Astyanax mexicanus: one gene and its partners. The protein of the gene in region 2 interacts with the protein of the main gene of each other region in a pairwise test. Links are inferred from orthologs where the notes say so. Each region holds a gene or a part of one and is shown on either strand. Other genes may lie near its edges.

The links.
Region 1: the proteins of rplp1 (region 2) and nudt3b interact in a two-hybrid assay, tested with the Homo sapiens proteins (2 studies listed by BioGRID and IntAct). The link is inferred for Astyanax mexicanus from reciprocal best matches to the Homo sapiens genes RPLP1 and NUDT3.
Region 3: the proteins of rplp1 (region 2) and nudt21 interact in a two-hybrid assay, tested with the Homo sapiens proteins (2 studies listed by BioGRID and IntAct). The link is inferred for Astyanax mexicanus from reciprocal best matches to the Homo sapiens genes RPLP1 and NUDT21.

The regions. Positions count from the first base shown.
Region 1 is NC_064412.1:5,169,301-5,176,756, reverse strand, and holds the start of nudt3b (diphosphoinositol polyphosphate phosphohydrolase 1), read right to left. Parts: upstream 4,961-7,456; 5' UTR 4,757-4,960; coding exon 4,658-4,756; intron 2,614-4,657; coding exon 2,503-2,613; intron 1-2,502. UniProt on the Homo sapiens protein: Cleaves a beta-phosphate from the diphosphate groups in PP-InsP5 (diphosphoinositol pentakisphosphate) and [PP]2-InsP4 (bisdiphosphoinositol tetrakisphosphate), suggesting that it may play a role in signal transduction.
Region 2 is NC_064410.1:2,543,213-2,550,668, forward strand, and holds the start of rplp1 (60S acidic ribosomal protein P1), read right to left. Parts: upstream 4,827-7,456; 5' UTR 4,672-4,826; coding exon 4,600-4,671; intron 3,253-4,599; coding exon 3,178-3,252; intron 1,664-3,177; coding exon 1,549-1,663; intron 707-1,548; coding exon of another isoform or gene 627-706; exon of another isoform or gene 593-626; intron 1-592. Other genes in the region: clptm1l (cleft lip and palate transmembrane protein 1-like protein), read right to left, coding at 7,365-7,449. UniProt on the Homo sapiens protein: Plays an important role in the elongation step of protein synthesis.
Region 3 is NC_064416.1:26,200,292-26,207,747, reverse strand, and holds the start of nudt21 (cleavage and polyadenylation specificity factor subunit 5), read right to left. Parts: upstream 4,764-7,456; 5' UTR 4,608-4,763; coding exon 4,489-4,607; intron 3,523-4,488; coding exon 3,322-3,522; intron 743-3,321; coding exon 679-742; intron 149-678; coding exon 59-148; intron 1-58. UniProt on the Homo sapiens protein: Component of the cleavage factor Im (CFIm) complex that functions as an activator of the pre-mRNA 3'-end cleavage and polyadenylation processing required for the maturation of pre-mRNA into functional mRNAs.

The DNA of each region.
Region 1 (7,456 bases), on a different chromosome or scaffold from region 2:
TCACACAGTTTACACTCAACTTAGTCTGTCTCTCCAAAAGAGCCCAAACAACAGAACAGATTACATATTTACTCACTAAATGTCAGTTCTTTTAAATCTCATGTTTAACTGTTTTTCTGTTGATTTTAGAGATGGTGAAGATGGCAGAAATAATTGTTGACTTATCAACTAATCGAAAAAATTATCATCAGATTAGTCGTCTACCAAAATAATCATTAGTTGCAGCCCGAGTACAGTGTACATATTGTTAACCCCTTAGTAGAATCCTTGATGATATTTGATCAGTGACTTCTGGGAACATTAGGTCCTAGGAGGGTTACGTTATTGCAATTTAATAAAATATATTTATCCTTACTATGTATTTCAATTAATAGTATTAAGTATATAGTATATCTATCACACATGAAAGTTTGGACCACATTGTTTGGGTATTTGTTACACTTTGTTTTGTACATTTGGTCTGGTTAGTTTTGGTTTTACACTACATTTTAATGACTGAATGGACTAAATAACTTTTTTACTACATCCTGTCATCAATTTTTTCCCAATTTAATTAAGCCAATTGTCCCACCCATTTACCTGCTACTCAGCTGTATATCCCCCATTACTGGTGATGCCACAACACAAGGAGAGTGAAGACTAGCACATGCCCCTTCGACACATGTGAAGTCAGACTCCGCCTCTTTACGAACTGCTACTGATGTTGCATTGCCGAGTAGCATCACAGTGCTAACGCTCGGAGGAAAGTGCAACGACTCGGTTCTGATACATCAGCTCACAGACGCCTTGTGCTGATCAACATCACCCTAGCAGTGATGAGGGGAAAGAGCACCATCTACTGTACCCACCCAGAGAGAGCAAGGCCAGTTGTGCTCTCCCAGGGCTCTGGCAGCTGATGTCTCAACTTGGTCTGAAAGTCCAAAACATCTAGAAAAGTGCAGCCAAACCAGACCATGGTTCAGTAGATCCAGACTGAGAACACCGGAACAAACTCTGGTGCTTTGGTCCAGACCATGGTTGACACCCCCTTTTACACCTGCTACTTTGATTCAAACCCAAACTGAAAAGTCCCAATGTCCGGACCAAACACAGGAGGTATGAACTCAACCAAAGTTCAATACTTATAAAATCTAAATAGGTTAAGAATTACTAATTTTCTCATTATAAGACAAACCGAAACCAAACAAAAGCTAAATAAAACATAGAACTGTATGGACCAGACTGTCAAAGTTAAATGTCATCAAATGTGACAATCTATCTCAGACGCTTACCACAATGAACACTAACATTACATACAGTATTTTCCGCATAGCCTCTCACTCACTTCCCATTTTCCACCACGATTTATAATTAGAAAGCTATTGTGATTAACCAAAGGGCAATCATGGGTAGTTTGGACAAATGAACAGGTCAATGGAACATTGGTGTAAACACCGATAAGACTGATAAGATGCAGGACCAACCAACTTAATTTCAGCACATTACGTTAACGTACTGAGCATTGAAAGAGCAAAAGTCTACATTTTGAGAGGCCTAAAGAGGCTTAGCCTGGTGTTGCTGCTGGATATCTGCCTAACTGGAGCACAGCCAGGGTGTAGAGTAATGAGCAGTGCTTAATCTGAGTTTAACGCCCTTTAACACTCCACTGTAACGTGATCTCCCTCTCCACATGAGTGATGCGTATCACTGCCCATCACAAGAATCTATGAGCTGAAGATCAGGGTTAGCCTGAGCTACAGGAATATAACAACGAGTTGCACTATTCGGTAGCACAGAGCTCGAAGCGCAGGGTTTTGACTGACATAGAGAGGGTGATTATTGAGTTAAACGCATAATGAATGTATTTTAATTCCCATTCACATCAAACTGTAAGACATGCGTATGACCTTATATATTTTACACAGTAAAACATTACAACCAAGCTAAACAGATCTTCTGTCTGAGCCTACTCCACACACTACAGGATAATCTGGAAAGATTACGATAGTTGACGATCAACCTGAAAGACCAAATCAGCCTTGAAATCAGCTTGAATATCCTGTAGTGTGGGCCAGCCATAACACAACTAATCACTACTGTAAATCTGTTTTACTCACTCAGATTAACACAAATCACAGATCCAATCTTCAGCTCCCCTGAAGAAAATTCTAACTTCTAGTGTATAGATTTAGTAGTTAAAAATGTTAGATATTAGATGTATGCATCTGGCTGTTTTTTGGACGAGAAAATGATCTCTTGGTTCCCCTCGAGAACTATTCCTTCAGATCTCCTGATCTGAGTTTTTTTTTTTTTTTTTTTGCTGCTGCTATTATCCTTTTGACCTGGGGCTCGAACATGGATCTCTGTGAAGCTGCTCTATGAGTAGGTCTTTTGTAACAAACACTACATAAACAAACCTGTGTCATTATGCAATGTTCAAAGTTCAGAGATGATTTGTTATTTATAGTGAATTAATAATGAGTGCAATAACGGCATCAAGTCATATAGATTAACTGGTCTGACCTCTTCACAAACTTCTCGGACAGCAGCAACATTGGGCTCTTCTTCTGGCTCCATTCCCCCTCCTGGTACGATCCACTTGTCTGGATGTCGACTGCTGCTCACCAGCAGCACCTGAATCAACACAAAGCAGCACATCTGATACAACACGTCTTATAGCTTCACTGGTTTAGAATAACTATATAGCTACATATAATAGACATAGCTATAAAGCATGTGACTTACATAATCCCTCTCTCCTTCCATATTTAAATCTAATCTCAAGACTCAGATAATTTCTGCCTATGGCTTAACTTGCTAATATCTAAAAATACACGTAATACTACTGTTGGGTTGATGACCCTCTGTAGATGTTAAAGATTATCTGTTCTGTCTGTGTGTTAATTTTTTCTATCTTCTATTTTTATACTACTGTTGGGCTGTGTCTCCTTCGTATACATTGTATCTGTTCTGTCTTTGTGTTAAATGTTTCTATTTTCTACGTAACACTACTGATGGGTTGATGCGCCTCTGTAGATACACACATTATTTCTGTGTGTTGAATGTTTCTATCTTCTATGTAATACTACTGATGGATTGATGACCCTCTGTAAATATGTTCTATCTGTCTGTCTAATGTTTCTATTTTCTATGGTTAATGCCCCTCTGTAGATGTTGTATCTGTTCTAAGTAATACTACTGTTGAGCTGATATATCTGTTCTATCTGTCTGTTGAATGTTTCCATCTTCTACATATTTTGATTTTATGTCATAATTAGCCTACTGTTGGGTTGATGCCCCTCTGTAAATGGTGTAGGCTATCTTTTTTTTATAGTGTTTGAAACTGAGATTTTAAAAAAAGTGCAGTTTCATAAAAGAATAAAGTATTGCTGGTATTATTCTAGCTAGCTAAACAGTTCACTAAAAGGCCAGCTAGAGTTTTAGACAGACAGATAGGCAATATGCAAGCTAACCTTGAGATTAAGCTCTATACTCTCAGTAACATACAGCCAACTATCCATTAAACTACCTCACTACCTATACATAACTAACAAAGTGAGTTCTGTATCAAGTCTTCTGAATCAAATTTTCTGATTTTGCTTTTTATATATATATATACACGTTTCAGTAAAATGAACATTGTTGTCTTATTCTATAACTTTTCTCAACATTTCTCCCAAATTCCAAATAAAAATATTGCCATTTAGAGAAATTATTTGCAGAAAATTAGAAATGGCTGAAATAACAAAAAAGATGCAGAGCTTTCAGACCTCCAATAACGCAAAGAAAACAAGTTCATATTTATAAAGTTTTCAGAGATCAGAAATCAATATTTGGTGGAATAACCCTGTTTTTTAATCACAGTTTTTATGCATCTTGGCATGTTCTCCTCCACTAGTCTTACACACTGCTTTTGGATAACTTTATGCCTCTACTCCTGGTGCAAAAAATTCTCTAACTTCCTCTTGGTTATATTGCAGAGGTTTTAAATTTGGTAAAATCAAAGAAATTCATAATTTTCAGGTGGTTTCTTTTTCATTTCCCCCAGAGCTGTGTATACATGTATACCGCCAGATAGCTAACTAGCCTATGTTAGCTAACCTAGCTCATACAGATTGGTGGCCAACGAGCTAGCCAGCTAGGTAGTTAGCTAACCGCTAGCTACTCAACTAGCGCTGCTTTTTGTTTTTGCGCAACCGCCGCACACAACTGGTGTCAGCAAAACTGGCTAGCTATGTAGTTATATTTTCAGATCTCCTGCACGAAGTCTGTCTTAAAAATATATACGGAGCCTCTTTAAATGTATAAACAGGGTTAAAGTTTTTTAGCGGTTCCCCAGCCCGCGCTACCCGCCCGGGTAACCGAACAGACGGCGGCTCAGCTTGGCTCGGCTCAGCAGCGCTTCATTGACAAACCGCACCAGCTAAGCTAAAATAAGCTAAGATAAGCTAACTAGCCTAGCTAGCTATCGTTAGCTTTAGTCTATTAGCTATACACAGGTAGCTGTTCTCAATCTCTGCACCCGACTCTCCTTCTTCTGTAATTCGCCTCGTTTATCTACAACTAAACCGCGGCCTGGATTTATTAATCTCACATTAATTAAAGCACATTTTATATTTTCTAGTCTCAATTGCGGCCTACTCGCTCCCCGAACTCCGCTCCGCATCCCCGGCCTCACCTCCTCCTCGGACTCGCTCCTGAAGCACAGGCAGGCGGCCCTTTTCTTATAGCCGTCTCCGTCGTACGTGCGGGTCTGGTTGGACTTGAGCTTCATCATCTCGGTACGACAGGGACTAATATCGCAGCTCGGACCTCCAGGAGATTCCACAGCTTTCCCACGCAAAGTTCGCCGAAGGAAACCCCGCGTTCTTAATAACAGAAATAAGTTCTCCTGCGCTTCATTTTCCCAACGCCAAGCGCATCTCAGCCACAGACGCCATTACTGAAACCGCTACGCCAACAGCGCAGCGTGAGGCTTTGTGGCCGGGGCCTCGCCGGGAAACGCGCGTAGCCGCCATTGCAGAATCGCAAAATCGAGCCTAAGTAGCGCGTCTGCGGGAGCCTCTCATAATACAGTTCACTGCAATACTGTTATATCCCACCTCCACCAACACAGGCCTGTAAAAGCACATTCCCGCCACTTAACATTAAACATACTATAAAATAAAACATAAAATAATATTTTTTTATTAAATAAATGTAAGTAATTTGTTAAATCTCAATTGATGCTAACTTACCTCATTACTTTCAGACACTATCCCTGACAGCAAAGAACATTGATTAAACGTTATAATTATGACTATTTTGATTGCATTGCGCATTTTAAGGTTAAAAAATAAAAAATAAAAAAATCAACATTTAAACAACATTAAACTTTATTATTTAAGATGCCGAGACATTTAGAGATATTAAGTCGTTGTTTTGAGTTTCTAAATCATTATTTTAAAATGCTATGATATTATTATTAGAAATAAGTCGTTATTTTAAGATACTAGGTCGTTATTTTGAAATAACGACCTAGTAGTGTAGATACTAGGTCAATTTTATTAAGATCCTTTATCATTGTTTTAAGATCCCAGGTCTTTCATTTTAGATACTAAGTTGTTACTTTAGGATACTAGGTGAATATTTTTAAAAACGATGTCATTATTTTAAGATACTATGTCATTATTGTGAGACACTTAGTTGTCATTTAGAGATATTAAGTCGTTATTTCAAGTCACTATATCATTATTTTGAAATACTGTGTTATTTTGAGATTCTAAGTCGCTATTTTAAGATACTAAGTAACTATATTCGAGATACTACATCATTTTACAGTTTTTCTCAATTGGTTTGGCTCATTTCTTGAAACTGAGATGACATTCCTATAACTATAAGGTAAATTGGCCAAACAGACTTACAATTCTGCGCAACACTTCAGATAACCAGCAAAATGTCATATGTCTCCCAAAACGTTCATTCTTGCTTCAAAATGAAGTCCCTCTCCCATATAAAAAGTCAGTACCATAAAAATGGCATAGATCCTTCTCAATTGCTTTGGCACATTTTCATTCATTTCATCCTCCTGTCAAAATATACCGGACGGTGCAGCACAACTACATGGATCCTCATCACATGCTCATATCACTCCAAAAACAGTTTACCCATGTGTCAAAACTAATTTCCTTTCTCACACAAACCATCAGTGCCCCCAAAATGCATTGTCCCTTTGGTATTGTGTAAGTACTGCAAGTCAAAATGCTTAGATGTTTTGTCTTTATGGCAGAGGTCTAGCTAAAGGAATACAATGTTCACACCACACACACTGCACTCATTCTACTGAGGAAATTGTAACTATTTCTATTTACAAGTACATCTTTACACATGACTGTAGGTAGGAAAGAAAAAAAAATACAAAGGAAAATGTATCAAATATACTATGTATACAAAATACAAAAACCTGCAAAAACAAAACAAAAATACAGTATGTAAAAAAACAGTCAAACAAATGCAATACAGTAACATTCTGACTACTCCGTGTCACTCCCCTCTCTCTCCTGGTCATCTTCCTGGCCATCCATCCGCTGCAGTCTGTTTGGCCATAAATTCTCATCAACATCGCCTCTGATGTGTTCTTTAGCAATGCACTGTGGGAAGAAGCGCCGTGAATGCCTGAGCCATCCTCTACACTGATCGCCACAGGATCCTTATATCATCACAGGACTAGCATCAAAGAACTAGCACCAGGCCAAGCTGTATATATACAGCAATGCCAGCATTCAAAATCATAGACAACACCTGTCAGGTAACAAACTGATGGATTGGTCACCTGTAATGTGGGACACTCCTCCTCGTCATAACCTGCTTTCACCTGTTACCTACTCACCTGATTGTCATGAATTTATGAAATGTTCCAAAATATGTGTTCTGTATTGTATTACAATTTCGTAACTCATTTTGATAATTGAGCAGACTATTCTGCAGATGATGACTTATACGATGAAATTGTGCTGGCATGTTTTGGAGAGAACAACCATTACACTGAGAACCAACCAATTGGGATAGACCAACAAGATGCATTATTTTGGAAAATGTACTAAATGTAGGAGTATTGTGTTAAGTGTAGGCTACTTGTACATAACCATTTGTAAAGATGTACTAAGTGCTTGAGACATGTACAAAGCATTTGAAATGTGATGAAAGCAATGAGAAATGCCATTCTGTTGTGAGGAACTGCAAGTTAGTTTGGGGATTTGTCCATGTTATTTTAAAAATGTCATCTCAGTTTCAAGAAATGAGCCAAACCAATTGAGAAAAACTGTAAGATACTGACATTAAGTTTAAGATATTACATTATTTTAAGATACTACGTCTACTAGTGGCTACTGAGACAAACTCATGGTGAATTTTTAATGCATGTTATGAAGAAAAAGGCCTCAAAACATTGAAACTACACATTAAACTATGGAAATATAGGGGTTATCGTAATTTTCTT
Region 2 (7,456 bases):
AGACTCTAAGACTATAGGTCAGTGGCATTCATTCATAATAGAGACCACAACTTGACACTTTAAAATGAGCCTTACTGCTGAAGCTGGCTGTTAGCATTGAGGCTATGCCACACTAAACCAAACACTGGTGTTATGTCAAGTTGTGCTACCCTTCAAAAACCCTTCTCCATCACTGAGCAATGAAAAATTCAAAGAATGTGAGATATAAAATCACACCTGTTCCCTTTAACTGTATTCTGATATTGATCTAGGCTTTCCAATTATCCTACCAAAATTATTTTAAATGTGCTTCTGTTCTGGCATATTTACAATAAAACACACACTAGGGTAGCACAACTCAACAGATCATTTGCTGGATAAAAAATATATATATTTTTAAACTAGTACAACGGGCTGAAATCACACTGCTAAACTCAAATACATAACATTAAAACCTAACTTTGCATTCCCCATCCCTGTGCAATTTTTCACTTCCTGACCACACGAATTTTCCACAACTTCACCTCTAAACTCCTCACAGATAAAGATGTTCATAACTGAGACCCTTCAATTCTACTCTGAATTACAAAAGTTAAAAAGAAACGACAAAAAATTCAGTTTCTTTTCTTTTTATTAGAAAAACTGATTTAGTCGAAGAGACCGAAGCCCATGTCGTCATCAGACTCCTCAGACTCCTCCTTCTTCTCCTCCTTCTTCTCCTCCTTGGCTGTAACACAAAGCATTAATGTGAATATTAAATTCATAATCAGGTCACAAATCTGCAGTCAGGTGATTTTCACTTATTATGAAAGTAAAAAGTCTAAGCTTTTAGTTTCTGGTCATTAAAAAAAAAACTTTTCAGACCTGAATTATGATCCAGTGATGGACCTAAAACAGCATTATTATATTTTTCTAACAAACAAACAAAAAAAGCTTAATATTTTAATATAGAAAAATCAAACTGTTTTCTGCCTAATGCACAATAATAAAAAAAAAAAACAAGACACTTAATATACTATATAGAAAAATATAATAATGCTGTTTTTTTTTTTTTTAACTAAATCAGTTTTAATTAATGCACTGGAGGCCTGTGTTTAACATTTTTATTTTTTTATATTGACATACCTTTTTACTAAACAAAAAAAAACCAAAAAAAATTAAAACATTCTAAAATCACATACAATTAGTAAAAATAAAATCCTCCTATTGCTGCTATGCCATAATATCCCAATTGTATTTGTTTCTCTCCTGTGCAGTAGGCGGGGCTAAGCTACTGTTTAATTGCCTTTAATTGACTTTCCCATTGGCCCGTTCATGTCCTATTCAATTTTTATTGTGCGCAACAAAACATTTTTAAAACAGTGATGTCCATTGTACTGGTTGCAAGATCTGAAAGGGTTAAAGTGAGCTTTATTCCAGTTAATACTTTAATATTCTATTAAAGTATTAACTGGACTAACAATCCCATATATTACTTGTATATTAAAGTGATAACTGTAAAGATAAGTCGTTTGTGCGTCACCCGTTGTGTGCATTAATTAATAGCTCTTTAAATGTAAAGTGTGTTACCTGGTGCTTCTCCTCCAGCAGCAGGAGCAGCTCCACCAGCACCAGCGGGAGCAGGGGCTCCACCACCAGCCCCCACGCTGCAGATCAGGCTGCCGATGTCCACGCTGCCCAGAGCCTGAACACAGAAAAACCACGTCACTGACCTGAGCGTCTATAAGCACTTATAAACCATCCATTAATCACTAATATAAAACTCGACACAAGAGCTTTAGGACTGAGCACTGTTCTAACTTTAGTGCACCAGAACACCCCACGTATTCTTATAGTATTACATTAAACTAAAGACTAAGAGGTGGGTGAGGGGGATAAGTGTACAGTACTTTATCCACCACTTTTATTGTTGATTTTTACATTTCTGTGCTTTAATATACAGCTCTGGAAAGACAATCTGATTTAGCTATTTATAGGTTTATGTTTGAGTAAAATGAACATTGTTGTTTTATTCTATAAACTACAGACAACATTTCTCCCAAATTCCAAATAAAAATTCAATCATTTAAAGATTTTATTTGCAGAAAATGAGAAAAGGCTCAAATAAAGATAATAATGCAAGTTTTAAGAGTTCAGAAATCAATATTTGGTGGAATAACCCTGGTTGTTTTTTAATCACAGTTTTTATTTTAATGCATCTTGGCATCATGTTCTCCTCCACCAGTCTTACACACTGCTTTAGGATAACTTTATGCTGCTTTACTCCTGGTGCAAAAATTCAAGCAGTTCAGTTTGGTGGTTTGATGGTTTGTGATCATCCATCTTCCTCTTGATTATATTCCAGAGGTTTTTAATTTGGTAAAATCAAAAACTTATTTCTAAGTGGTAATTTCTTTTTACCAGAGCTGAATACTGAATATATAGAGATGCTCAAAATGTTTAAAATGTAGTTCAAGTAAATATATAAATTTATCTAAGGTCTATTTTTGATAGAATTTTTTGAACAAACCATCAACCTACAAAAAAAACCCTACATACACAAATGAAATGTTAGTAAATGTTGACAAGATATTTGACTATAAGCAATAATTTAACAGTTAAACTTATTCAAGGCCTTATTTAATGTTCTTAATGCAGTAACAAACATTTTAAATGTAAATCCTGCATTTAACATTGACATTTGCTTGTATAATATTAGATTGCCAATTTTAATGTACTGACAGAAAAGCTACAACAGCATCTGTTTAAAGCCATTTTTACCTGTAATACCAGATTTACACATCTAAATCTTAATGAAGCCTTCCTGTAGCTTTACAAGAATTACCACCATGTCTTTATTATGAGCATCTTTTGTAGGTTTGCTACATCAAATTCAAAGACCAAACACATCTAGGCTCCACCTCTGAAGCGAGGAAATATGCAGATTAATCAATCAATCAATAATACCGCCCCTCTGCTTACGTCTAACAGCTGTCTGAGACACACTGTTCAGCCCAATCAGCCCCTAAACCCATACATCACCCAATGCCCCTCCCAAACAAAATAACCCCTCCATTTTTTTTATTTGAGCAGACTGGAGTCAGCTAAAATTGGGGGTTTACTTACACTTTAACTTAACATCCATCCCTTTCAGATGTGATCTTCAACAGTTACACTAAAAGCATGCTTTTTTATATTAAGCTGGTAAAGGACTCTTACCTTGGCGAACAGACCGGGCCAGAAAGGCTCAATGGTCACTCCAGCAGCCTTGATCAGGGCGTTCAGCTTGTCCTCCTAAAAAAAAATAACATTTAGTGTGTTAAATCCACATGAGGCTACATCATAAATTGAAATAAATAAATGAAGATTAAAATCCTGATGTAACGTAAACAATGCAAAAACAATATAAATCAGGCCAGAAATAGTTATATGCAGTAAAGCCTTTAAATAGATTAAAAGATCTGTAAAAGCAGAAAACACTCTTAAAAGAGCCAATTTAGTTTCATCTCCAGTACTAATCCTAAAGCAAGCCTACATTCTGTATAAATAGGATTGAGATGTGTGAACAGAATCGTTTACACACTGTCCTGTAGTGATGCTCTCAGGCACTTTAGGATGTTCAGTATGTTACTTGTGTGTCACTTAGAAACATGAATTAAACTGACAGTACGCTGTAAGGAACTTAAAAATACACTACTGCAACAAAAATAAATATTAAACCATATTTGGCAACATTACTAAAAAAAAAAATCTTATATGGCACTCCACTAGTTGAGATTTTCACCAGATTGTAATAAAAATTGTGAATGAACAAACATGTCATGATACTAATGCACTACATATATAAAATGACAGACAGATAAGTCTTCGATATTTCAAGAAAAACGAGAACAGCAAAAAAGTGGAATCACCCCTGATTTCAAGAGAGAGCTACCAGGTTGTATTTTTTTTTTAATGTGGAATTTTAGTTTTATTAGCCAGTTTGCACTTAGCTAGTACCACCAGGTGTTCCGTCAAGTTGTAACACTCACCGAAAACGTGCTTCCTAAAAGCACTGCGCATGCGTTGACCTACAGTTAAAATTCTCTTGTTTATTTTTTATTTTTTGTGTGTTTGTTATTCAACATGTAAGTTAACGTTACTCGCCCTCGCTGCACAAAACTGCAAATTAAAATTATTAAAAATAATAAACAACTTTTTTTTTTAAACACTAGTTTTAAATGACCACTCACTGTCATAACGTTGAAGACCAATTGATTTATGCTCTCCAAAAAAAATACTATATAGACTTCCACTGAGAATATGCTCGATTTTTGTGCTTTTTGAGCGTTTGTAAAGCTAAATATATAAGTCACAAGAGAAGCACAGTTTGACGAGTAGCACAACTTGACAGAACACCGGCTACAGTGTGGCTCAGTAAACAGACCCTATATTACCCCTGTTATTATTATCAGAGTATGAGAGTTAACCTGAGCTGTGGAGTTTAACAGTAAAGAGCTTTAATATGTTATAGATTAACTAATTACACAGTAAATCTAAAAATCTCTTTCCCGCTCCCGCCAGTCAGTAGTGTAGCAGTGTGTACTGTGGTAATGGTAGTAATGGCGGCGGCCGGGGCCGCAGCGGGGGGACAGGACCTACCGTAACGGTCACATCATCGTCGTGGAGGATGAGAGCGGAGTAAATACAGGCGAGCTCGGAGACAGAGGCCATTGTTCTTTCAGTAGGTTACAGTTTTGGACCTGGATGCCTAATATTAGCGGTGCTAGTCGCCGGATTCTAGGGCCTTAGCTTCGTTAGAAGAACCGAGCACCTTAGGCACGTTCAATCGTCCTCACACACGGAGCGGAAAGGGAGAGCGCAGGGGCGGGGCTTACGCTTATATCCGCTACTGCGTCACTTCAGGGGGCGGGACTACTTCCTATTGGCCATCGCTCTTGTCATTAAAATAAGCCCGCAGTTCCCTCAGCCCGTTTAGTTTAGATACTATTTCATTATTTTGAGATACTAACTCATTATTTTGAGATAGTAAGCCATTATATTGAGGTAGTAAATCATTATTTTGAGATACTATTTCATTATTTTGAGATAGTAGTTATTTTGAGATACTATCTCATTATTTTGAGATAGTAAGTCATTATTGAGGTAGTAAATCCTTATTTTGAGATAGTAATTGTTTTTAGATACTATTTCATTATTTTGATGTAGTAAGTCATTATTATAAGATAGTAAGTCTTTATTTTGAAAAAGTAAGTCGTTATTTTGAGATACTATTTCATTACTTCGAGATACTATAATTAATTTGAGATATTAAGTAATTACTTTGAGATATTTAGTCATTACTTTGAGATAGTAAGTCATTATTCTAAGATAGTACATCGGTATTTTGAGATACTATTTCATTATTTTGAGATAGTAAGTCATTATTTTGAGATAGTAAGTCATTATTTTGAGATACTATTTTATTATGTTGAGATACTATCATTATTTTGAGATATTAAGTCATTATTTTGAGATAGTAAGTCATTAGTTTGCGATAGTAAATCATTTTTTAAGATAATAAATCATTATTTGGAGATACTATTTAATTATTTTGAGACAGTAAATGAGTATTTTAAGATACCAAATCATTATTCTTAGATACCATTATTTTGAGATATTAAGTAATTATTTTAAGATACTATCTCATTATTTTGAGAAACTCTAAACTAAGTCGTTATTTTGAGATACTGTTTTATTATTTTAAGATACTAGTAGACTGTACAAAGAAAGAAGCAGGTGAGACAAAAATTATGTCAGAATAAAGAGGTAGCAGTTTACTTGATAATAAGAATAAAACATATGTATTTTTTATTTTAGGTGGCCGGAATGAGCTTCCATACTTTTAAAATAGGTTGCACCAAATAAACTTGTATATACATAGGAGCTAGTACCTACTAAATATTTACACATACCCCTGAACAGGTGTAAGCTAATGAAAATAATATATGACTAGTTTGGAGCTTCAAGCAGGACAAATGCTATATACTATATGTTATCCTATATATTATCCAATAGAAAAATGCATGCTGTTAATCCTGTAATTATTATTAGTGAAAATCATCAACTCTATGCATGAGTTAGTTGTTACTAACTAGTAATACACTAAATATAATTTGAAAAATGAAACAAAAGACCAGAAACACTGTACAGGAGTTTTGGAGGCTTTTATTTATTTGTGGGTATTTTTTTTAAAGTAGCTGAAAAAGCACGGCTCCAAACACAGGCCATACAGCAGAAGGTGTTCAGCAGATGGTCCCAATAGGCCACATTAGTAAAGGAATCAAAAACATAAACATAAAGCATAATATTATAATATCTTCCCCTCCCTCTGGTCCAGAAATGAGCTCTGATTCTCACAACAGCAGAAATCTAAGTACCAGAATTGTTGGAAATAATTTTCACATTAAGAATGGTACACAGTCCAAATCACAGTCCCTTTGGTCACCACCATTTATTACATTTTTTAGTATTGTGGACCCAGTTAGTGACTTACAATTTCTGGAAAACTTCAAAAAGCACTAAAAGTTGCAGTTTTAAGCAGAAAATAAAAATATTTATCGCGTGAATCGAAGCTTGGACTTCACAAACAAATCACCATTTGAGTCCCGTTAAACACTTCAGTGGAATATAGTACAACAAACTCACACACAACAAGCCATTCTCACCCCAAATACACATCAACAGACTCGTCAGACCTGTGCTTTTTCCTCTTTCAGTCCATCTTTCTCAGTTTAACCATTATTTTAACTTTCGGTCTCCCCCTCTTTAATATGACTAACTATGAGAAATTACAACATCAGTTCATTTGGCACCAGTATGATAAAAGTCATATTTCCAAAAACACTATTTTCATAAAGATATAATCAAAGAGTACCTGTCGAAAATACTTCTGTCTTCAAATGAGCTTATTTTCCTCATGATTTTCTGATGAGGAACAACAGATCATTGATCAAATCATTGATAACTCACTCACTTGTGCCTCAGACGCACAACCGTGATTAACAATCAGCAAAATTCCAACCTACATCAAACTGAACCCAATCGTATTAGCAACCTGTCAGCCCAGCAGCTCATACAGTACTGAAAAATAAAACAATGCAATGTTTCATCTCCAATTAAGGACAATGAAATCAGTTTGTCAGACTCAGGACAGGAAATGTAAGAGTGTAAAAGGTGGAAGAGACAGATGTTGGTCACAGTCGATCACTCCACAGATGAAAATCCCCAGTCCAGTCTGCAGATCACCCAGTGTTCCCAGTATGCGCAGACCATAATGCACTGTGTACTGTCCTCTCCGTCCTCTCCGTCCTCTCTGGTGTTGATGTTTAGCAGGCTGACTTAGAAAACTCTGAGCTGTAAGGAGTTTAATCCTTGTGGGCTTTTCCTTTTAGGTCCTCGTCATAAGACACGCCATACTCGTTCACTCTGGTCTTATCAACAGGATAGAGCCTGCAAG
Region 3 (7,456 bases), on a different chromosome or scaffold from region 2:
GTACTTCCTTAATCTCACATTTTCCTGTATGATTGTGTATGTTAGTGTATTGACTAACCTGAGGCGGTTCAAAATTGGGTCGCCACCAGTTTCCAATGCAGTCATCGATCACCCAGTCCTGCTTCACGCCATCCTGACGCCCCAAAATCTGTCCAAAGAACAAGTACTCGTCAATAAAGCTGCTCATCTCGGTAGAGTACTTTAAATAAACAGCTAATGTAACATTACGCTTAAATAAACAAATACAATGGCTTCTTTTAGAGAAAAAAATACATCAACAAAGTAAAGGATTGCAGCCGCAGTAACAGTCACTTTTACAGCCATTACATACATCACCCTGTGTCAATATCATAAAAATTTACTTGTGTGCATTATTAAAAATGTGGTTTAATACTGATATCAAGTCAATGTCATTTATTAAGCAAGGTTTGAGGTTTAATATCACTACATACTGTGTAGATCATGATCTTGGTTCAATTGCAACTTTTTGGTATAAAAAAACAAAGCAAACCAGAACTAAAATGTAACCATGTTTTTTTCTAGCTTGTTCTGGATTAAGGCAACTACAAGAATAAATTCACTATAAACACACTAAGAACACAATCAAAACATCAATTAATACCACATTTATTCCAGAGAGAAATCAGAATAATCAGCTACAGCACAAACAAAATTTACCTCTGTCATCAGACGCTTTAGGCCCTCCACCTCATCTTCTCCAGGATTTAATTCTCCACCAGGACTGAAAACAGACAGAAATAACAATAAAGATAGAATATGTCTCTTTAAATTAAATTTTAATTAAAAAAGCTTTTAAATACTATATGAGAAAACTGTTGATCAGGTAGATGATTATAATATAGTCACAAGGTTTGATTTACGGGGTCCTCCCACCTTTAGAGCAATCAGGCCAAATGTACTGTATTTTTCGGGCTATAAGGCGCACTTAAAATACTTATTTTTTCCCAAAAATCGTCATTGCGCCTTATAATGCAGTGCGCCTTGTGTATGGATTTTGCTTGTGTTTACTGACCTCGATTTTTATGTGGTACACGGCGCTCTGTTGTGCAGAATTCCTCACCCACGCCAGAAAAAGATCCCCCTCTTGGGCTAGCGCGCGGTTACCTTTGACTGCCGTACTGCCTCTCGGCTGTGGTTCAGGGTAGCTAGTTTCCACTGTAGCTCCGTGGCCAGAACAAGGTGCCGGTAAACTTTCCTTTCCACCCGTTCTGGGGTAATAGCACAAACTGTTTCTTTTTAGCGCTCACTTCTAAGTAAAGTTAACCTCTTAACACGCGCTGGCCCACCGGCGGGCCAGAAATATTTAATATTTCATAACTGGCTGTGTTTCTGAATAGTTATGAACAGTTACAGGTTCAATATAGACATCCAATATACCATTTTAAAGCTTAGAATCTCTGCTTTTGAGCTATTTAGCCTATTTAGCGGAATATCCTTTCAGAAAATAAACATTTAGGGCGAAATATGCCTTGGTTATGATTTTAATAATTCATAACTCTCATATTTGCGTTTATCGTTCGTCCATATTTCATCGAATGCGGTCATGTCATACACCATTCGAACCGTCTGGCTCTCCGGATTCCAGAACTGTGCTTTTACTGTAGGATGTATGTTTCATGAATTAGAGCTGCGTCAGAGCGCATGTTTCCAGTAATAAAAGGCTCTCCTTTTGTCCTGGGGTAACCTCCGGTCACTGCCGCCACCCCCCGAACACACACCCGCGCTCAGCCACAGGTCCTACCTTCAAAACGCGTCCAGACTAAAGAGAATCCATCAATCCAGTCTCCTGTAATCCACAGTTATATCCAAACAGCGCTGGAAATCACTTCATCCAGAAATGAAACTTATCCAATCTTTATCTCTGTTTTAAAACCGTTTTATTCACCGAATTCGGCACAACACGCTATTATAGTCAGAAGCCTCGCGGAGTAATGCGGTACTTGCTGTGCTTCAACATAATATTATGGTCTGTCGGAGCGTTGCGGCTACCGTTGTCAGGAGCCTCGCGGAGTAATACGTACTTGCTGTGCTTCAACATAATATTATGGTCTGTCGGAGCGTTGCGGCTACCGTTGTCAGAAGCCTCGCGGAGTAATGCGGTACTTGCTGTGCTTCAACATAATATTATGGTCTGTCGGAGCGTTGCGGCTACCGTTGTCAGGAGCCTCGCGGAGTAATACGTACTTGCTGTGCTTCAACATAATATTATGGTCTGTCGGAGCGTTGCGGCTACCGTTGTCAGAAGCCTCGCGGAGTAATGCGGTACTTGCTGTGCTTCAACATAATATTATGGTCTGTCGGAGCGTTGCGGCTACCGTTGTCAGGAGCCTCGCGGAGTAATACGTACTTGCTGTGCTTCAACATAATATTATGGTCTGTCGGAGCGTTGCGGCTACCGTTGTCAGAAGCCTCGCGGAGTAATGCGGTACTTGCTGTGCTTCAACATAATATTATGGTCTGTCGGAGCGTTGCGGCTACCGTTGTCAGGAGCGTCGCGGAGTAATACGTACTTGCTGTGCTTCAACATAATATTATGGTCTGTCGGAGCGTTGCGGCTACCGTTGTCAGGAGCCTCGCGGAGTAATACGTACTTGCTGTGCTTCAACATAATATTATGGTCTGTCGGAGCGTTGCGGCTACCGTTGTCAGGAGTGTCGCGGAGTAATACGTACTTGCTGTGCTTCAACATAATATTATGGTCTGTCGGAGCGTTGCGGCTACCGTTGTCAGGAGCGTCGCGGAGTAATACGTACTTGCTGTGCTTGTTGATTTATTGCTCAGAGATGTTGTTATTTTTCACAGATATTGTGAAGGATTTATTGCTCAGAGTTATTGTTACTGATATAAATAAAGTTTCATTTAGTGCGCCTTATAATCCAGTGCGCCTTGTGTATGGACTAACACTAAAAATAGACCGTTCACTCATCGTGCGCCTTATAATACGGTGCGCCTTATAGTCCGAAAAATACGGTATATGCTGTAATTTTTATAAAAAATTATATAATAAAAAGCAGTCCAATTTCTGATAGAACATGTAATTGTTAGGCAGACTTGTGCAGTTTGGGCCACCTAGGTACCAAGCATTATGTTTGTACCACCTTTGGTGCCTAGACCCCTTATGATGATCATAGAGCTGCTTATCATCACAAAATAGCTTTAAGTTCCACTTTAGAAATGTGATATTATGCTGCTGCAGTTCTATAAATTGGGGCTTTATGTAGATGAGCATTTTAGTCTTTTATTCTGGATATAAACTAGCTTTACTAAGACTGAATAGGAACAGTTAGTTAAAATAGTTACAGTTTGAAGAAGGTGGTTCCCAGCTGCAGCAGTAAGACATGGGGCAGTCTGTGCTCGTGCACTATCAGGACCCCCTCCACCGTCCGCCGCATTCCAATCTTCTCAAACTCCTCCCGCATCCGCTGGAAGCGGGCGGCCACTGAACTGTCCTTCTCATATAGTGGCTCCTTCGTGCCGAACGTGTAGTTCGTCAAAGGATAGCTGCAGAAAACAGAGACAACTGTGTGAAAAAAACTTACATTAGTACAGTACTAAATGCTAAGGGTAGGCGACTGGCCCAAATATAATATAATAATATTTCAGGGGGTTTCTTTGATAATGATAATCTTGGTGGTTTGGCAAAAAAAAAAATATATATATATTTTAATTAATTTCTTTAAGATATACTGCAACTTAATCATTGATAACGTTTATCTAGTTAATATAATCTAACCAGTTTAAAAAATATGTACAACATTTGTCTATTTTTAAACTACAGTAACTTACTAAGACTGATTTTGTAGAAAATAATAAAATGTGAATAAAAAAAATATCTTAACTATATCACTTAACATTTTAAACTTCCCAGCAAATAACAGCCTGCTTTTAAGACAGAACACTGCTGTTAATGGTAGACCAGTATATTGAAATTATATCGGCCGTTATAGCAGCCAATATGGCCAATATGACACAATAGACAGACATTCCTACACTTATATCTGATAATCATGATATTGCATATTGTGTTTATTTGTATGTCAATATTTTAAATGACAATATTTAGGAGGGAATTTGGAAGAAATGTTCATAGTTTATAAAATAAAACAACAATGTTGATTTTACTCAAACATACACCTATAAATAGCAAAATCAGAGAAGCTGATTAAGAAACTATAGTGGTTTCTTAACTTTTTGCAGAGCTGTAATTTAGTTGTACTGTGTAAGACACAGCCCAGCCCTACAGATCACACAACAACAGCTAACCAAGTAGCCTCTGTTGCTAGCTAGCTAGCTATCTTCTATGCTAACGCGAGCTAGGTTAGCTTAGCTACTGTTAGAGCAGCTTTTACAACTACACAACCAGAAAACACACTGATTAATAACCTCCACACCCCGCTGTTCCCGCACTGATCTACAGACTGAGCTGCGTTGTATAATATAACTGTGTGTATAAATGAAGGTGCTCACAGGTTGATGGTTCTCTCCAGGGTGAGCGGTTTCGCCGGGGGACTGATGTATTTGTTTCCGAACTGATTCACTCCGCGCGGCCAACCGGTGGACGAGCGATTCGGAGGAACAACGGACATAATTCCGTGCAAAACTGCGCACGTATAAAACCCGCTCAACCGCTTTAACTATTAAAAAAGAAAAAATCAAACCCAGCTCAGAACCAGGCCGCCCGCCGCACTCACTAACCAGCCCTGCAAACACCACAGCAACACCGCCCGCCCTCCGACCCGCCGAAGATAGAATAAAAGTCCATCAGCGCAAAATAAAAGACCCTTAAAATCTACAACTCTGGAAAAATTAAGAGACCACTTCAGTTCCTGAATCAGTTTGTCTCATTTTGCTATTTATAGGTATATGTTTCAGTAAAATTAACATTGTTGATTTATTCTATAAACTACAGACAACATTTCTTTCAAATCCCAAATATAAATGTTGTTTAGAGCATGTATTTGCAGAAAATGAAAAATGGCTGAAATAACAAAAAAGATGCAGAGCTTTCAGACTTTAAATGATGCAAAGAAAACAAGTTCATATTCATAAAGTTTTAGAAATCAACATTTAGTGGAATAACCCTGGTTTTTTGATTACAGTTTCATGCATCTTGGCATATTCTCCTTTACCAGTCTTTCACACTGCTTTCGGATAACTTTATGCCAATCCTGGTGCAAAAATTCAAGCAGTTCAGCTTGGTCTGACTTGTGATCATCCATCTTCCTCTTAATTATATTCCAGTGTTTTTTAATTTGGTAAAATCAAACAGACTCATAATTTTTAATGGGTCTCTTATTTTTTTCCATATACGGGTCATAAAAAATTCATGGAGCTTAACCCTTTCAGATCTGAACTATGTTGCAGTGATAGAAAAATATAAGAATACTGTTTTCTCTCTGTAATGCACACAAAACAAGACTATACAATTTAAATTAAATTAACTAACAAATAACTCTTTAATTTATTTTTACAGTACAATAAACATAATGAAAAAGTGTTTTAACTCACATAAAATTGGTCAAAATCAGCCCTTACATTAACTCGTTGGCTTTAGTGCTGCCATGACTTAATGTCTGCGTTGGTGTTTTTTACCCAGTACAGTGGGTGGGGCTAATATTTTAATTAGCTGATTCATGGTCTTTTCAAAGACAACATGTCTGAATTGATGGTACGTCCAACAAAACATATATATAATATAATATATGATGTCCATTGTAATGGACACAGGGTCTGAATAGGTTAAAAAAAGGTTAAAGTATTAAATCAGAATTTTGTAATAATAAAGGTGGAATATTTAATGTTGTAATTCACAAAATATGATAAAACATCCACCAGATGGATTTGAATCATTTTAATGGAATTTATGCGTCTGATTTTTAAATCTGGAAATATTTTGTTATTTTAAAATGTTTTTTTTTTCCATCAGTTCAAAACACAAGCAGGTTAAAATTCTATTTATGAATTACACTATTAAATATTTTAGGCTCATTAAATTGTTAGTAAATTGTATTTAAATATAACAAAACAGATATAAATACTTTTTTTAAGCTACACAACAATTTCAACAACAACAATTAAGACTGCATAGTAATAATATTAATAATAATAATAATAATAATAAGAAGAAGAAGAAGAAGAAGAAGAAGAAGAAGAAGAAAAGGAAGAAACAGAAGTATTTGTATAGTCATTATTTTATTTACTACAACTATTACAGCTACCCTAAGCAGTTTTTTTCTAAATAAAATATATAACACATTTAATTACTATTTAATTACAAATAAAACTGTAGAATAGATTGTATAAATAATAGACCATTTGTCCTCGTAAACCGAGTAAATCCCAAATAATAAAACACTGGTGAATATGCGATTTTTATATGGTGATTTTTGCAAAGATATTTCTTCTTAAGAACTAAATATGGCCTAATGTGCTAAAGTAATAAGAATCATAATTATGGGCCACACAGAGTTCTGCAAATAATCTCTCCATTTATTTTTTCTGTGAAATTTCCAAGGCAAGCCCTACAATTGGTCAGGACTTTAAGAGTAGCACTTAATGCCTCTGCCCAGTAGTCTGAAATGTATAACAATGACAGAAGTTCTTATATCAGGGCTCTTGTTTAAAAGAGTTACAGGACAACTGGTACATTTGGGGACATGAAATGTTTGTTACAAGCTTCAGATCAAACAGAAAATATATCTGACATGCTTTAAACCTGTTACAGTGTTCAAAGCAATCTAGTGGCTTAAGCTAATTATATGCTTGAGGACTTGCACACTTCTGTTAAAAGGCATAAAACTGACACTGTCTCTTTGCCCGGTTACTATTTGTAAGAGCGAAACTAGACTTCTTTTGAAATCATTTCCCATCATGCTCCTGGTGAACATTTACAAGAAAAGAAACTGTTGAACAAATAGAAGCAACCTTTGCCCACAGCTGTCCTTAGAAAAAAACGCACTACAGACACCACAGAATGAGGACATGACCATTTCATAAACGAGGACAGCTGCTTTCAGTTTTGGGCTGGAGAGAGCTATTCACTGTGTTTACTGTAACAAATATTATAGTATTAAAATAGGATAATATTAAACATGTCAGTTCAACATCAATCTTTGAAGAGAAAGAGAATCAGAGAAGAGAAAGATGTGAAGACGTGGATGGGGACAAAGTTGTCCTCCACCTCCATTGATGGCTCACGGTTGGTTCTGTTGTCAATCATGTAATTGCACTGTATAGAGAAAATGTCATAATAGCAATCTCACTTTTTTACTTTTTTAGGATAAGGTAATGCCTAAAAGTGTATGTACATTATATAATTATGTTTATTTATATAGTTAATTATTATTTATTATCATGTTATTGTGGATGTCAGCAGATGAAACAGTCAATACTTTCTCTGAACAATGACTAAGATACCTATTTCAGTTTTTTAAGA